Stegostoma tigrinum: one gene and its partner. The main gene of each other region encodes a partner of the protein of the gene in region 2 in a complex. Links are inferred from orthologs where the notes say so. Each region holds a gene or a part of one and is shown on either strand. Other genes may lie near its edges.

Evidence for each region. Proteins that work in one complex are often made in the same cells at the same time.
Region 1: eif3i (region 2) and eif3s10 share a complex: the UniProt entries of both Homo sapiens proteins name them as parts of the eukaryotic translation initiation factor 3 (eIF-3) complex. The link is inferred for Stegostoma tigrinum from reciprocal best matches to the Homo sapiens genes EIF3I and EIF3A.

Annotation. Positions count from the first base shown.
Region 1 is NC_081373.1:17,491,773-17,498,848, forward strand, and holds the start of eif3s10 (eukaryotic translation initiation factor 3 subunit A), read left to right. Parts: upstream 1-4,061; 5' UTR 4,062-4,162; coding exon 4,163-4,211; intron 4,212-7,076. Other genes in the region: dennd10 (DENN domain-containing protein 10), read right to left, coding at 56-95. UniProt on the Homo sapiens protein: RNA-binding component of the eukaryotic translation initiation factor 3 (eIF-3) complex, which is required for several steps in the initiation of protein synthesis.
Region 2 is NC_081377.1:45,623,230-45,631,107, forward strand, and holds the start of eif3i (eukaryotic translation initiation factor 3 subunit I), read left to right. Parts: upstream 1-4,874; 5' UTR 4,875-4,884; coding exon of another isoform or gene 4,885-4,897; 5' UTR 4,898-4,992; coding exon 4,993-4,995; intron 4,996-6,851; coding exon 6,852-6,944; intron 6,945-7,878. Other genes in the region: tmem234 (transmembrane protein 234), read right to left, coding at 2,190-2,341, 4,885-4,897. UniProt on the Homo sapiens protein: Component of the eukaryotic translation initiation factor 3 (eIF-3) complex, which is required for several steps in the initiation of protein synthesis.

The DNA of each region.
Region 1 (7,076 bases), on a different chromosome or scaffold from region 2:
GGACAGCAGGATGTAATTGTACATACAATCCCAATTCCTATCTGTGGACTCTTACCGACCAACCCCACGCTCAGCATCGGAGGCGTCTCTGCCATAGTCTGTCCAACGCGTCAGCAGCTCCGTTTCTATAAATGAATGGGGAAACACTCCCTCCGAATATATCTTCAACAGGAATTGAACAATAAATCACTACAGATTGAAATGAAACTGTTGCTGTACTTTGCTAACTGTAGCTATCACTGAGCTGCTATACTAATACAATGTCTATACAATGTAACTAGCAACACAAACACTGTTCATCTCAGTTAATTTTACAAAATGCGGGTTCTGTCACTAATTTGCCGCTACTAAACTTAATGTAAACTTAGTACAACTGTTACTCTTTCGCTTTCTTTTATTTCGGAAGGGTTTTTTTAGATCAAAAATGCAAACAGCATTTCCTCCCTCTTATCTTTCAGGACCTCCGGCTTCACATTAAAACCCGTCCGACTGTCACTGAGGGGATTGTGTCAGGACTTCACACAGAGGGTGGTGCGTTTATGAATGAGCTATCAGACGAAGTGGTAGAGGCTGGTACAATTACTACATTTAAAAGGCACCTGGATGGGTATATGATAAGAAGGATTTAGAGGGACGTGGGCCAAATACTGGCAAATGGAACTAGATTAATTTAGGATATCTGGTCAGCATGGACGAGTTGATCTGAAGGATGTGTTTCCGTCCTACACAATTCTATGACTCTATGCCTGAGGTCACTGGACAGAGACGTGCAAAGAATAATGTAGAACACACTCTCAAGGACCTAAACCTTTACGACAAAAGGATATTTTGAACTTTGTTTTCTGTTTGAGTAATCTTACACTGAATACTCCGAATCAAAATGAAGCCCATCATTGGCGTAAATAAGACAATTACAAAAATTTATTCTCAGGTGGTAGGCATCATCGGTCAGGCCAACATTTATTCCCCATCCCTAATTGCCCAGAGGGTAGTTGAATGTCAAACACGTTGCTGTGAGTCTGGAGTAATGGGTCGGCCAGGCGAGGTGCTCCTATGATGCCTCTTGGCCGGCTGTGTTCACCCAGTTCTACACCTTATTATCTCAGGTAGGGATGGTAGTTTCCTTCCCTTAAAAAACATTAGTGACCAGATGGTAACACAGTGTGGAGTTGGAGGAACACAGCAGGCCAGGTAGCATCAGAGGAGCAGGAAAGTTAATGTTCAGGTCTGGACTCTTCTCTAGAAATTTCTGAAGAAGGGTCCCGACCTGAAATGTCAACTTTCCTGCTCCTCTATGCTACCTGGCCTGCTGTGTTCCTGCAGCTACACGCTGTGTTATATCTGACTCCAGCATCTGTAGTTCTTACTATCTCTGAGTGAACTAGATGTTTTTTTTCCAACAATTGACAATAGTTTCAGAGTTACTATTAGACTCCTAATTGCAGATATTTATTGAATTCAAATTTCATCATCTGCCTTGACAGGATTCAAACCCAGACTGCCAGAGTATGACCAGGGTCACTGGATTAATAGTGGACCTATAATACCACTAGGCCATCATGTCCCCACTAACAAAAAGTACACTGCAGTTCCATTAGCACCCAAAAAAGGGTCCCATTGCAACAACTGTTTCTAGCATATTCTGACAAGTGCATCCCACATTAATTCCCAATGTCAAAATGAGCTGTTTAAAATATTGTTTAAGATATCAGAGAAATAACATGAAACATCTTTGTATACTGGCTCCTAAAAAAAGGGAAGCTGAGAACTCTTCAGAATTTAATTGTCTTCTCGTACCCGCTACATATTAAAATATGTTGTTGTTATTTAATAATACAAAGTATAAATGAAATGACCAGCAGTTTATGTATAGGCGCTTGGTCAGATACCATTTTGTTTACATAATCTAGCTCAGCGGTCTCCAAACCTTTAAGGTTAATATCACTATTTAAGTGCAACCAGGATCTACCTTGAAGAATAAAATCAAACAAACATTTTATTTTTAGGGATATGTAAATCTAAAGCCAAGTATAAATAATTATTGATTTGTAATTTATTCATCAAGTCTCATGTGACATCTATGACTGCCAGTGCTTTGAAATCAGGTTTGTAATCTATCACTAATCTATTGTCAGGATTTGTTTCTAGGGTTTATGATAAGCTTGCATTGATTGGATATTGGATGTGGGACATAGCAGCATTTCCCATATTTTTGTGGCCATGCCCCACATTTTTCTTTGTCCTGCATGGTTGTGTTGGATAAGCTGGACTAAGCTCTGACACCCCCTTATGCACCTGCTCTCTCTCAAGGAGAATTAAATTGATAATATCCATTTATAAAATCATTGAAATCAGCACATTCTTTTAAAAAATGTAACAGACTGACATTCCAAACAGCAAGACTTACTGCATGATACTCTTACAAAATATCAATACAATCAATTTAAATTGAAGTTGTAGATTGTAATTATTTAAGGAAAATAAACTTGTTCATCTGTAGAATACCAGAGTATTATACTACTGAAAATAAATATTTTCCAAACTTGTCTGCATTCAAAAGAAAAACATCAAAATGTACATTATGTTGACATTCATTGTTTATCACTAATTGCTATGAAAAACAGTGGTGTGGCTTTTCTTGAAATACTAAAGTCTATACATTTATTTGTAATAGTAGTTGAATATATCTGAGTGCCTTATTGGACTACTTCGCTTGGTTAAGAATCAAACATTCCAGTGTGAGACCACAGTCATCATTATGTCAAACTAAGTAAGCATAGTCCACCACATTCCCCCACTCACCCACTTTAAACAACATTACTTACTGCCAAACCATCTATTCACTTTTACTGGTGCCAGCCTTTTATTTCCAGTTTTTAATAAAGTGATCTCAAATCGCCATATAGCATTGCAGCTTTTGAAGTCAGTTCTTTGGATTATTGGTCTAGTAATATAATCACATTTATAATCCTACAACATGGAATCTCAGTAAGCATTATTATTTGCTTATAATGAAAGCATGTAATGTTTTTGTGAAGTTAGTAATCCTTGGCTATCAGGCTAAATTTTAAAATGATAATTCCAATAATTGACATGTTCTTTTTATTTTTAATCCCATGTTTATCAATAATTGAAATACACTTTGGTTTAAACAATGGTAAATAGATCAGTTGTTTTAACAAACAAAGTGCATATAATGGCAACTGCGATTTGGATGGGGTTATGCTCTTGCTTCAGACTCAAGGGCTGTTCCCCCATTTCAGATCATAATAAACTAAAGTGTGTAGCCAGCTGGATCGCCACCCTTGCTTTGTTCAGATGAGAAGTTAAAGTGAGACTCTCTATATTTTCACAGGAAAATATACAAAATCCCACAGTATTATTTCAAGAATAGACTTCTACCCTGTCTCTGTATTTATTCCTTAATCTGTACATCATATTTAAAGAAAAGTCAGGTCATTGTCTGGTTGCTCTTGATGGCAGTTTGTTGAACATATATACCTACATGACAACAAAGACTGAACTTCAGAAGTATTTCATTGACCATAAAGGTAGTGAGAAATAGGAACAAGAGTTGGTCGTCAGGTCCTTCGCGCCTGCTCCAGCATTGAAAATGATTATGGCTGGTCCCACATTGCACACTCTTACTTCCCTGCCTTTCTCCGTAATCCTGGATTCTCCAACTGATCATGAATCTGTCTACCTCCGCCTTAAAAGATACACAAGCAATTTGCTCTCAAGAGCTCTTTGAGGCAAGGAACTCTAAAGATTCACAACCCTCTCAGAGGTGAAATTCCTCCTCATTTCAGACTTAAACTGGCGCCCCGAGGGTTCTGCGAACTGAGATCGTGAAAGGTGGAACAGAAAATGATGTTTTTTCCGCCTGCTCTCCTAACTGTTTTATTTAATTCTCCACAATCCACAGAATGCTCATACCTGGAACTTACTAAACTTGAAAGACTTGAGTGGGTCGCAGCGCGCATGCGCCGGACGGCTTGCTGTTGGAGTGCGCCTGTGCAAGGTCCCGACGGGCGCCGGGCGGGTCACGTGGGGGACGTATACGTCACGTGACGCCGGCCTCCATTTTGAAACCGTCTGTTCAGTGCCGCGCAGCTCCGCTGGTGGTAGTTCAGGCTGTTGAGGGAGTGCGGAGTCTGAAACTATGCCGGCGTATTTTCAGAGACCCGAGAACGCCCTGAAAAGAGCCAATGGTAAGTGGCCGGGGTTAGCGAGGGGAGAGATTTGGCCTGGGCCATGCGGCTGAGGTGGCGCTGACCTGGAGGAGGGTGAGGCTGCGGCTGCGGCCTTGTACCAGGCCTGTGGCTCATGCACATGTTGCTCGACCTGTCATTAACTTAATGGCGATTCCTTTTTATATAAAATAGAACATTGATTTCGCTTGTCACTTGCTTTATTTTTTTTCGTTAAAAATATCTGGATTTATGCATCGTCCTGGAAGGGAAATTTTCCTGATCTTAAGTTGAAATTTAAGTTGTATTTTTGAGCCTAGATGCTTGCATCAGTAAACTAGTTGTTAGACGTCTTTACCTTTTTTGCACATCTGATACTATCTAATGTTTAATTTTGTTTTGAGGTTGAAAGCCATACTGATGATTCATGAATATTGAGTTTTCCCTATTCATCATTGGTCCTCCGACCAAATAAAATGTATTCTTTCAGTTTAGTGATTGTGTTTATTTTGTTTATTTGCTGATTGGGTCTCAGATTAATACCATCTTTTGGGTATACTGAATACTGTTATCTTAAAGGATGTCCCTTTTTTTTCTGAGATAATGGGAACTGCAGATGCTGGAGAATCCAAGACAACAAAATGTGAGGCTGGATGAACACAGCAGGCCAAGCAGCATCTCATGATGCTGCTTGGCCTGCTGTGTTCATCCAGCCTCACATTTTGTTCCCTTTTTTTTCTTATTAAGGCAACAGTTTGATTTATCTAATCTGCTTAAAATGTTTTCCACTTTGGTCTTATCTAACTTTATTTTGCAAGGATATATTTTGTTAGTGATAAGGTGGTACTTTATGTAATGAACTGGGAGTTGGAAGTGATATCTGGGGTGTGTAGTGCCTTTTGATTTGGAAATATATTCTAAGCAGATCTTTCCAAGAAAATTGGGAAATTTTAAGGATTATGTTGCATTATAATAAATGCAACAAAGGTTCCTAGGTCTGTAGGAAGTGTGTGAAACCAGTAAAGGAATGGGAAGATTTGCATGATGTGACAGGAAAAGCAAGAAAGTACTAAAAATAATAAAAGTTAGTGGGGCTCATGGGGGATGGCAGGGTGATATCAGAAAATAACACTTGTTAGTTTAGCATCAGTTTAAGTGAAGTTCCTGGATCCTAATGTATCTATGTGAATGAACTTGTATAGTCTAATCAATACAGATCAACATAGATTTGAAAAGTGTTACTCATGAGGGCTGAGAATGAAAAATCAAAATTGTGGTGGTTGGTAGACATTATGGAGATGCGAAGTCCTCACTTTAGATCTTGAGATAAATCTAGATATTCACTTGCCTATGGCAAAATGAGATTTGGCATCAGTATACACAAACAATCCTAGAGCTAACGGTATCTTAGTGCTTGTTTACCAACAGGAGGAAATCCTTTCGGTTGGCTCAGTGACACAGCCCTGTTTTGGCCCAAATTTTAATTGCACTGGGTCTGGGGTTCCGTTAGTGAGAATCAATTCTTGCGTGACAAAGTAGAGCAGGCAGAGGATAGTGGCCAGATTTGAGGCCAGCCAAATTTGAGAGGACTCTATCAGCTTTCGTATTTGGCAATCAAGAGGCCTTTGTGAGGCTGATTAAAAGCCATGTTGGTGCTGTTGCTTTTCTTTAAAGAAAGTCCTGTTTAATCGATCGCAGTGTTTTTTGTACTTGTATGCACTTCAGAGATTTGGATGAGTTAAAGCTGACACTTGAAAACACTGGAGACGTAGCATCATTGGTACCTTCAAAATCTTTCAATTCCTGTGGCAAAACAACCTAATAGCAAAACTGTCTCAAGTAAGTTGTCCAGGGTTGAGACACCACACTCAAACTAGCTTTTCTGGGAGGGACATGTTGTTTGGTTGATACCAGCGATCTAATCCTTTTTCTCAACTTTGGAACTCTGAAGAGAAGTGTGGAAATGTGGTGATTAGCTTGGAATTAAACAAATTGCCTGAATCATAGAAGACCTGAGCTTGATGCTGACCAAATGGAGAAAGTTTATTCAGGAAGACGCCAAACACATTGTGAACATGCGGAAGCAAAGCCAAAGACATTTCGAAGGAGGAAACGCATGTCTGGAAAAACATTCAAGCAGCACTTGCCCTAAGTGACAGACTGCACATTGGTCTTACCCATATTTTCAGAACCAATATACAATCAAACTGGAACAAAAGCAAGTCCTTCTGTCCTCAGGTACTCTTTCAGATGAATAAGTTTGTCAAAAGTTTTAGTGCTCAGTAGCCTACCAGTGTACATTAAAATTTTGGAAGAAAATCAGTGTTTTTCATAATCAAAGTATATTTGATTTGTGCTGAATGCTTCGTTTCAGAATTCCTGCTAACGAATGAAATAGACCATGTGTTAGTCTCAGATACACACATTGTTTAACTTGCAGTCCTTTTGACTGTTGTTTTTCATGTACTGAATGGATCTGCATGATTTTTAACTCATTTGGATTTTGCTTCCCCTCTTTCTCACCTAACCAACCCAATTCAGAAGTTGACTGTCACCATAGATGAAAAAAAGGAAGGACAGGGTGCTAAGAAAGCTATGACATGTAGCAGGAGAAGGAATAAGCCCAGGAAAGTTGCTACATCTACAAAGTGCAACCAGTTCACTGGCTCTGGCATCTCCAAGGCCACAAGTGTAATTAACTTATTCATCAACAGTATTTTGGAATGCATCGTGGGGGAGTTTTCCCACCTGACCTGTTACGAATGTGGCACCATGAACTCTGGGAGATCCAGACCGCTGTGAGTCTGCTGCTGCTAAGAGAGCTGACCAAGAATTGTCAGAAGATACAAAGAAGGTGACCAAAAACACCAGCTTGAACTGAAACAC
Region 2 (7,878 bases):
TTCATATCACCACAGAGTAACCTGTCTCTGTGCTGACTGTGGAATCTTCATGTCCGTAAACTGCCTATTTGCATTCACAATAACAGCTCCTGTTTAAACATTGTTAAAAGGAGACTAAAAGTTGAAGGTTTTTGTTTTGTTCTTATCAAGAGTGCAAAAAAACTTTTAAAAATGGACATCAATTTATACAGAATGAGAGAAGCATGCTGATTGGCTGGACCCCACCGGCATCAGTCTTAATTCTCAGAGCAGACAGGAAAATTCTGATTCGGCAGTATCTCCATGGGAATGCAGCTAAGATTGGCATTCCTCATGGCCATATCTCTTCTCCATGAAAAAGGTGCAATGTACATATAAATTCCTGTTGACTACATGACACAGGATCCTGAGTATTTCTGTACATAGCTGTGAATACGCGCTCTGCGGGCCCCACTGATGATTTTGGTTTCCAGTTTTACTCTCAGTGCAGACTGACTTATTTAATAAATGATTCGCAACAACAGAATCACATCTAATGGTGGATATACTTTCCTGACCCTAGCAAGCATGGGCTGGTTGAGTGTGAATGGCCTGCTTCCAGTTGAGAATGGTCAGTGGGAATTGTTGTTAATGTGGTTTGTCAGTCAATAGATTTTACGATCTATAGACCTGCCAACCACCACACACCAGGTCTTGTTATCACATGGCCTGCAATTGTTAGCCACCAATAGTTGATATCAGCAGCCATTCATTCTCCTAGGTTGGCCATCATCCCTCCTTTGTCTGTCCAACTGTTCTTCTATCTCTTTGGGATCTAGCTGCACATATTGCTTGCTCCTTACCCCCTCCCATCACCCTATCTTCTGCATTACAGCCATCTCTATTTCCAGCAACAAAAACAGAAGTTGCTGAGGAAGGGTCACTGGACCTGAAATGTTAACTCTGATTTCTCTCCACAGACACAGCCAGACCTGCTGAGCTTTCCAGCAATTTTTGTTTCCGTTTCTGATTTCCAGCGTCCACAGTTCTTTCTGTTTTTTAAAACTCTGGTCAGTTTGAACAGACCAGTCAGAAAGACTGGGGTGCAAACACTAACCAGCTCCAACGATCACAGTCATTCTGGAACAGCTAGAGAGCAGGAGGGAGATCGTGGTAGTAGTAATGGTGTAATCATGGTTGTAATGATGGCTGTGTCAGAGTTGGAGAACTGGGCAACACCAGTAAGAAAATATCAATTCTGCGAATTGTTCTATGGGTTCAGTTGAACAGTTTGGTAAAGTTAGGGAAAAAACAATGAAAAGCAGGAAGGGACTCTCATAATTGCAGCATGCTGGCTGTCAAAAAGCAAGTGCTAAACTTGGTCTTGCGCTAGCGAGTTTTGAGAAGATTTGTAGCTCAGGTTGAGGTTCTGGATGTGAGTTTTCTCGCTGAGCTGGAAGGTTAGTTTTCAGACGTTTCGTCACCATTCCAGGTAACATCATCAGTGAGCCTCCGACGAAGCGCTGGTGTTATGTCCTGCTTTCTATTTACCTGACATCACCAACCCAAGGAAACCTAAACAGATAAATAGAAAGCGGGACATAACACCAGCGCTTCGTCGGAGGCTCACTGATGATGTTACCTAGAATGGTGACGAAACGTCTGAAAACTAACCTTCCAGCTCAGCGAGCAAACTTGGTCTAGCGCTGTTAAGAAATCAACACTGGCTTTGTGGTTTTGGTTGGTGTGGTGAAAGGATGATCATAAAAATCACATTAATGACAAATCATGACTCCGTTTACAACAGTGGTTCAGTGATGAGCACTGCTGCCCCACAGCAGCAGGAACCTGGGTTCAATTCCAACTTTGGGTGACTGTCTGTGTGGAGTTTGTACATTCTCCCCGTGTTGTGTGGGCTTCCTCCCACTGTGCAAAGAAGTGCAGGTTAGGTGGATTAGCCATGGGAAATTGCCCATAGTGTGTCAGCCAAATGAATAAGCCATGGTAAATGCAGGGTTGGGGTAGGGGAGTGATGCTCTTTGAAGAGTCGGCATGGACTTGTTGGGCTGAGTAGCCTGTTTCCACACTGTAGGGACTCTATGATCATTCACTAATTAAATTTTTACTTGAAATAAAGATGGCTAAAGCGAAAACCAAGCGATTCTCCTGCTGGCAGTTCACATGATTTTAGGAATGCAATACAGTACAGCATTTCAAAATAATTTTCTTACCTTGTAATTAAGAAATAAAAACTTCATCTCTACAAAGAGCTGAATGACAACGTTTCTAGACTTAACCTTTTCTATTCCCTCCGTGCCCTTCTTCAGAAAAGGGTTTGTTCCACCCCAAAGCAGTGCCACAAGGAGGAGGCAGCAAACTTCCACTGAAACAAAGACATTGACGAAGACTCTAAGGAAATCACACTGATTGATATTTCAGTTCCATCGGTGACATTTCAAGAAAAACTTTACAATATGAGGCCAAGCCAATATTCACCACAACACGGTGAATAAATTGACAAAAATTGACATTTTCCTAGCTATCATCAGTTTTGAGGAAGGGTCACTCAACCCAAAATGTTAAGTCTGATTTCTCTCTTACATACAACTTTCCTGCAGATATCAGCAAATAGTTTTAAGGACTGTAATTTCTCCCCCTCAGTGATCAAAAAACGCACTCAACTGCACCTCTTGCATTTCCCACGGGTCAGCCCTCACACTCCCTATCCGCAGTAACAACAAAGACAGTATTCCCCTCGTCCTCACGTACCACCCCATCACCCGATCCAAAGCATCATCCTCCGACATTTCCGCCATCTGGAATCTGACCCCACCACCAAAGACATTTTTCCATCCCCACTCTTACCTGCTTTCTGGAGGGACCACTCTCTCCTGGACTCCTTTATCCGCTCCACACTCCGCTCCAGCCCCACCATCCCAGGCACTTTTCCCTGCAACCGCAGGAAGTGCTACACCTGCACCTATACCTCCTCCCTCACCTCCATCCCAGGCCCAAAAACACCTTCCACATTAAACAGGTGTTCATCTGCACCTGTGCCAATGTGGTCTTTTGTATTCGCTGTTCTTGATGTGGCTTCCTCTACATCGGGGAGACCAAGCAGAGGATCAGAGACCGCTTTGTGGAGCACCTACACTTGGTTCGTGAAAAGCGACACAAGAGCACCTCCCAGTTGCAAACCACTTCAACTCCCCCTCGCACTCCCTGGACGACATATCCATCCTGGGCTACCTTCAGGGTTACACTGATGCCGGCCGGAAGCAGGAGGAACAGCACCTTGCATTCTGCCTGCGAACCCTACAACCCATTGGTCTCAATGTGGACTTTACTAGCCTCAAAATCTCCCTGCTCCCAACTGAATCCTAAGACCAGCACCTCCTCAAACCCTCCTCCTTGATCTGTCTGTCTTCTCTCCCACCTGCCCGCCCCCTCCATCCTCATTAACCAACCCCTACCCCAACTCCTTACATACACTCACCTTCACTGGCTCCATCCCTGCCTCCTTGAGCTGTCCATGTTCACTCCACCTATCTGCTGGTCTATCATCATCTCACCCTCTTTCTGTTTATTTCTGAAGGAGGGTCTAGGCCCGAAAGGTCAGCTTTCCTGCTGCTCTGATGCTGCCTGGACTGCTGTGATCATCCAGCCCGACACCTTGTTATCTTATTTGAGAAATGCACAATTGTTTTTCAATAAAGACGGCTGTGTTTGTGTATTTCCTAATCCCAAAGACATTTGATGAACTTGTGGGGACTGAGATGGTTTGAATTTTGAGCGTTTGCTCGTAAGGAGGAAAAAAAGGGAGCGCTCAGTCCTGATATCTACCCAACAAGATCAGAGAGGAGCAACTGACCAGAGGGAGGGAGTGAGTATGGGTGACCGCAGGGAAGGAGGGGGGAGAGAGAGTGACTGCGGGGAAGGAGGCGGGGGAGCGAGTGACCTCGGGGAGGGAGGGGGGGGGAGAGAGAGTGACCGCGGGGAAGGAGGGGAGAGAGAGAGTGACCACGGGGAAGGAGGGGAGAGAGAGAGAGTGACCGCGGGGGAGGAGGGGAGAGAGAGAGTGACCGCGGGGAAGGAGGGGGGAGAGAGAGTGACCGCGGGGAAGGAGGGGGGAGAGAGAGTGACCGCGGGGAAGGAGGGGGGGGGGAGAGAGAGTGACCGCGGGGAAGGAGGGGAGAGAGAGAGAGAGTGACCGCGGGGAAGGAGGGGGGGAAGAGAGTGACCGCGGGGAAGGAGGGGGGGGGAGAGAGTGACCGCGGGGAAGGAGGGGGGGGAGAGAGTGACCGCGGGGAAGGAGGGGGGAGAGAGAGAGTGACCGCGGGGAAGGAGGGGGGAGAGAGAGTGACCGCGGGGAAGGAGGGGGGAGAGAGAGTGACCGCGGGGAAGGAGGGGAGGGAGAGAGTGACCGCTGGGGAGGAGGGGGGGGAAGAGAGTGACCGCGGGGAAGGAGGGGAGGGAGAGAGTGACCGCGGGGAAGGAGGGGAGAGAGAGAGTGACCGCGGGGAAGGAGGGGAGAGAGAGAGTGACCGCGGGGGAGGAGGGGAGGGAGAGAGTGACCGCGGGGGAGGAGGGGGGAGAGAGAGTGACCGCGGGGGAGGGGGGGAGAGAGAGTGACCGCGGGGGAGGGGGGGAGAGAGTGAGTGACCGCGGGGGAGGGGCGGAGAGAGAGAGTGACCGCGGGGGAGGGAGAGAGTGACCGCGGGGGAGGGGGGGGGAGAGAGAGAGAGAGAGAGTGACCGCGGGGGAGGGGGGGGGGAGAGAGAGAGAGTGACCGCGGGGAAGGAGGGGGGGGGGGGGGGAGAGAGTGACCGCGGGGGAGGAGGGGGGGGGGGGGGAGAGAGTGACCGCGGGGGAGGGGAGGCGTGTCCCGGGGTCTGGCGGGAGGCGGGTGTTTTGAAGATCACTCACCGACGGTCGCCATAGCAGCGGGTTACTTGATCCCTGACCCCGCCCAGGGTCATTTCCGGCGGCGCCAGACACATCATTTCCGGGTTCTCTACAGGCTCCGCTGTCAGCATGGTGAGTGTTGGAGAGTAATAATGTGGGTATTAGAGGGACTGAGGGGGCACGGCGAGTGTTAAAGAGTAATAATGGGGGGGTAATAGAGGGACTGAGGGGGCACGGCGAGTGTTAGAGAGCAATAGAGGGACTGAGGGGGCACGGCGAGTGTTAAAGAGTAATAATGGGGGGTAATAGAGGGACTGAGGGGGCACGGCGAGTGTTAGAGAGCAATAGCGGGGGGTAATAGAGGGACTGAGGGAGCACGGTGAGTGTTGGAGAGTAATAATGTGGGTATTAGAGGGACTGAGGGGGCACGGCGAGTGTTAAAGAGCAATAGTGGGGGGTAATAGAGGGACTGAGGGGGCACGGTGAGTGTTAGAGAGCAATAGTGGGGGGTAATAGAGGGACTGAGGGGGCACGGCGAGTGTTAGAGAGCAATAGTGGGGGGTAATAGAGGGACTGAGGGGGCACGGCGAGTGTTAGAGAGTAATAATGCGGGCATTAGAGGGACTGAGGGGGCACGGCGAGTGTTGGAGAGTAGTAGTGTGGGTATTAGAGGGACTGAGGGGGCACGGCGAGTGTTGGAGAGTAATAATGCGGGCATTAGAGGGACTGAGGGGGCACGGCGAGTGTTGGAGAGTAGTAGTGTGGGTATTAGAGGGACTGAGGGGGCACGGCGAGTGTTGGAGAGTAATAATGCGGGCATTAGAGGGACTGAGGGGGCACGGCGAGTGTTGGAGAGTAGTAGTGTGGGTATTAGAGGGACTGAGGGGGCACGGCGAGTGTTGGAGAGTAGTAGTGTGGTACTCTGGAGATTTAGAGGTTACAGTGAGTATCGTTAATTTGATTTGTTGTAGTCCCGTACCTATGTACAGTGAGAAGTTTTCTTTAAGCAATACAGGCAGATCATAGCAAACACACAGATCATAAGGTGTTGAGTTTGAGCGAGACATACAAGGTTATGGCTGCAGAGAAGGTGCATAAAAGCAACATTAACATAAGGTTTGAAGTTAGAGAGGACCATTCAGTAGCCTGATAACAGAGGGGAAGAAACTGTTCTAGAACCTGTTGGGGCTTGTTTACAAGCTTCTGTATTTTCTGCCTGACACAGACGAGTTTGGAAAAGAGAATTGCAAGGGTGGGTGGAGGATCGGGATCTTTGATGTTGGCTGCCTTTCTCCAGCATGCGTAGATGGAGTCCATGGATGGGAGGTTGGCCTGTGTAATGGTCTGGACTGTGCACACAACTTTCTGTCGTTTCTTATGGTCCTGGGCAGAGCAGTTGCTGTACCAAGCCATGATGCACCCAGATGGAATTCCTTTTTAATGTGCATCTGCAAAAGTTGGTGAGGGTCCTTATTGACATGCCAAATTTCCTAAGTCTCGTGAAGAACTCGAGGCATTGTTTTGCTTTCTTGACTGTCGCAACTGTGTGGGAAGACCAGGACAGCTTGTTGGTTATTGCATTGCTTATTAAAGAGTAATGATGGACATAATATAGAGAGGTAATTGTATGTATTGAAAAGTAAGAATGCTAATACTATTTAGATCAGGATGACTGTTGCAGGGAGCAAGAGAAATATATTTCTATGGTACAAAACTGAGTTGTGGCCCTTAAACCTTGAGATTTACAGACTTTTAGTATTTTATCAATATGTTGAAATTGAGTAATTAATGGAGCTTAATAAAAACCAAAAGAGCTGCTGCAGTTGCTGTAAATCAGGAACAAAAACAAAGTTGCTGGAAAAGCTCAACAGGTCTGGCAGTATCTGTGGAGAGTTAACGTTTCAGGTCCGGTGACCGTTGCTCAGAACTGGAATTAATGGAGCTTGTTTCATTGCTGTAATACATCATGTTTTAATTTTTTTTTGCAGAAGCCCATCCTGTTACAAGGTCATGAAAGATCAATCACCCAAATTAAGTACAATAGAGAAGGTGATTTGCTGTTCTCTTGTGCAAAAGATACTGTAAGTATAACTTACAAATGATGGAATGTTGTGATAACTTATTCCATTAGTTTGCTATCTTGGCTGCAATATTCACATTGTGCATGTGTGTAATTACAACAGAAAGACTTGGGAGCAGAAGTAGGTCACTCGGTCTGTGAAGTCTCCTCTGCCTTTTCTGGCTGATGTGATCATTCTCAACTCCACTTTTCTGCCTTTTGCCTCCACAATCTTTGATTCCCTTGCTGACTAAAATCTGTTTATCCCAGCCTTGATGGCCCCTACAGTAAAGAATTTCACAAATTTGCTAACTTCTGAGAGCGTGTTGGCTCAGCAATTAACACTGATACCTCACAGGGCCAGGCATCTGGGTTCAGTTCCACCCTCGGGCGACTGTCTGTGTGGAGTTTGCACATTCTCCTCGTGTCTGCGTGGGTTTCCTCCGGGTGCTCCGGTTTCATCCCACAGTCCAAAGATGTGCAGGTTAGGTGGATTAGCCATGCTAAATTGTCCTTAGTGCCCAGGGATGTGCAGGCTTGGTGGGTTAGCCATGGGAAATGCAAGGTTACAGGGATATGGTGGGGTGTGTCTTGGTGGGATGCTGTTGAAAAATAAAAATAGCGTCATTTTCTACCAGTGTGAAGCAAAGTAAGTTCCTTTCATTGTGCCTCTGCTCATCTCTTGGGTAACCATAGCTCTGGTAGTGCAGGTTTTGAATTAGCAATGTATAAAAAAAATTTGTCTTTCTATTTTGAGGTCATTTCCTTGAGCCCTTTCTGCTATGGAAAGTGAAATAAGGTGAAATATTTGTGTAGTCAAAATGTTGAAATCCTTACTAACTGTCCACTTTTGATTATTCTAAAAGACAATGGTGTCTGTACACTGGGCCTCTGACTCGGCCCAAACCTATGCTAAACAAAATGGATAAATCCCATATCCCTTCCTGAGTAGATAG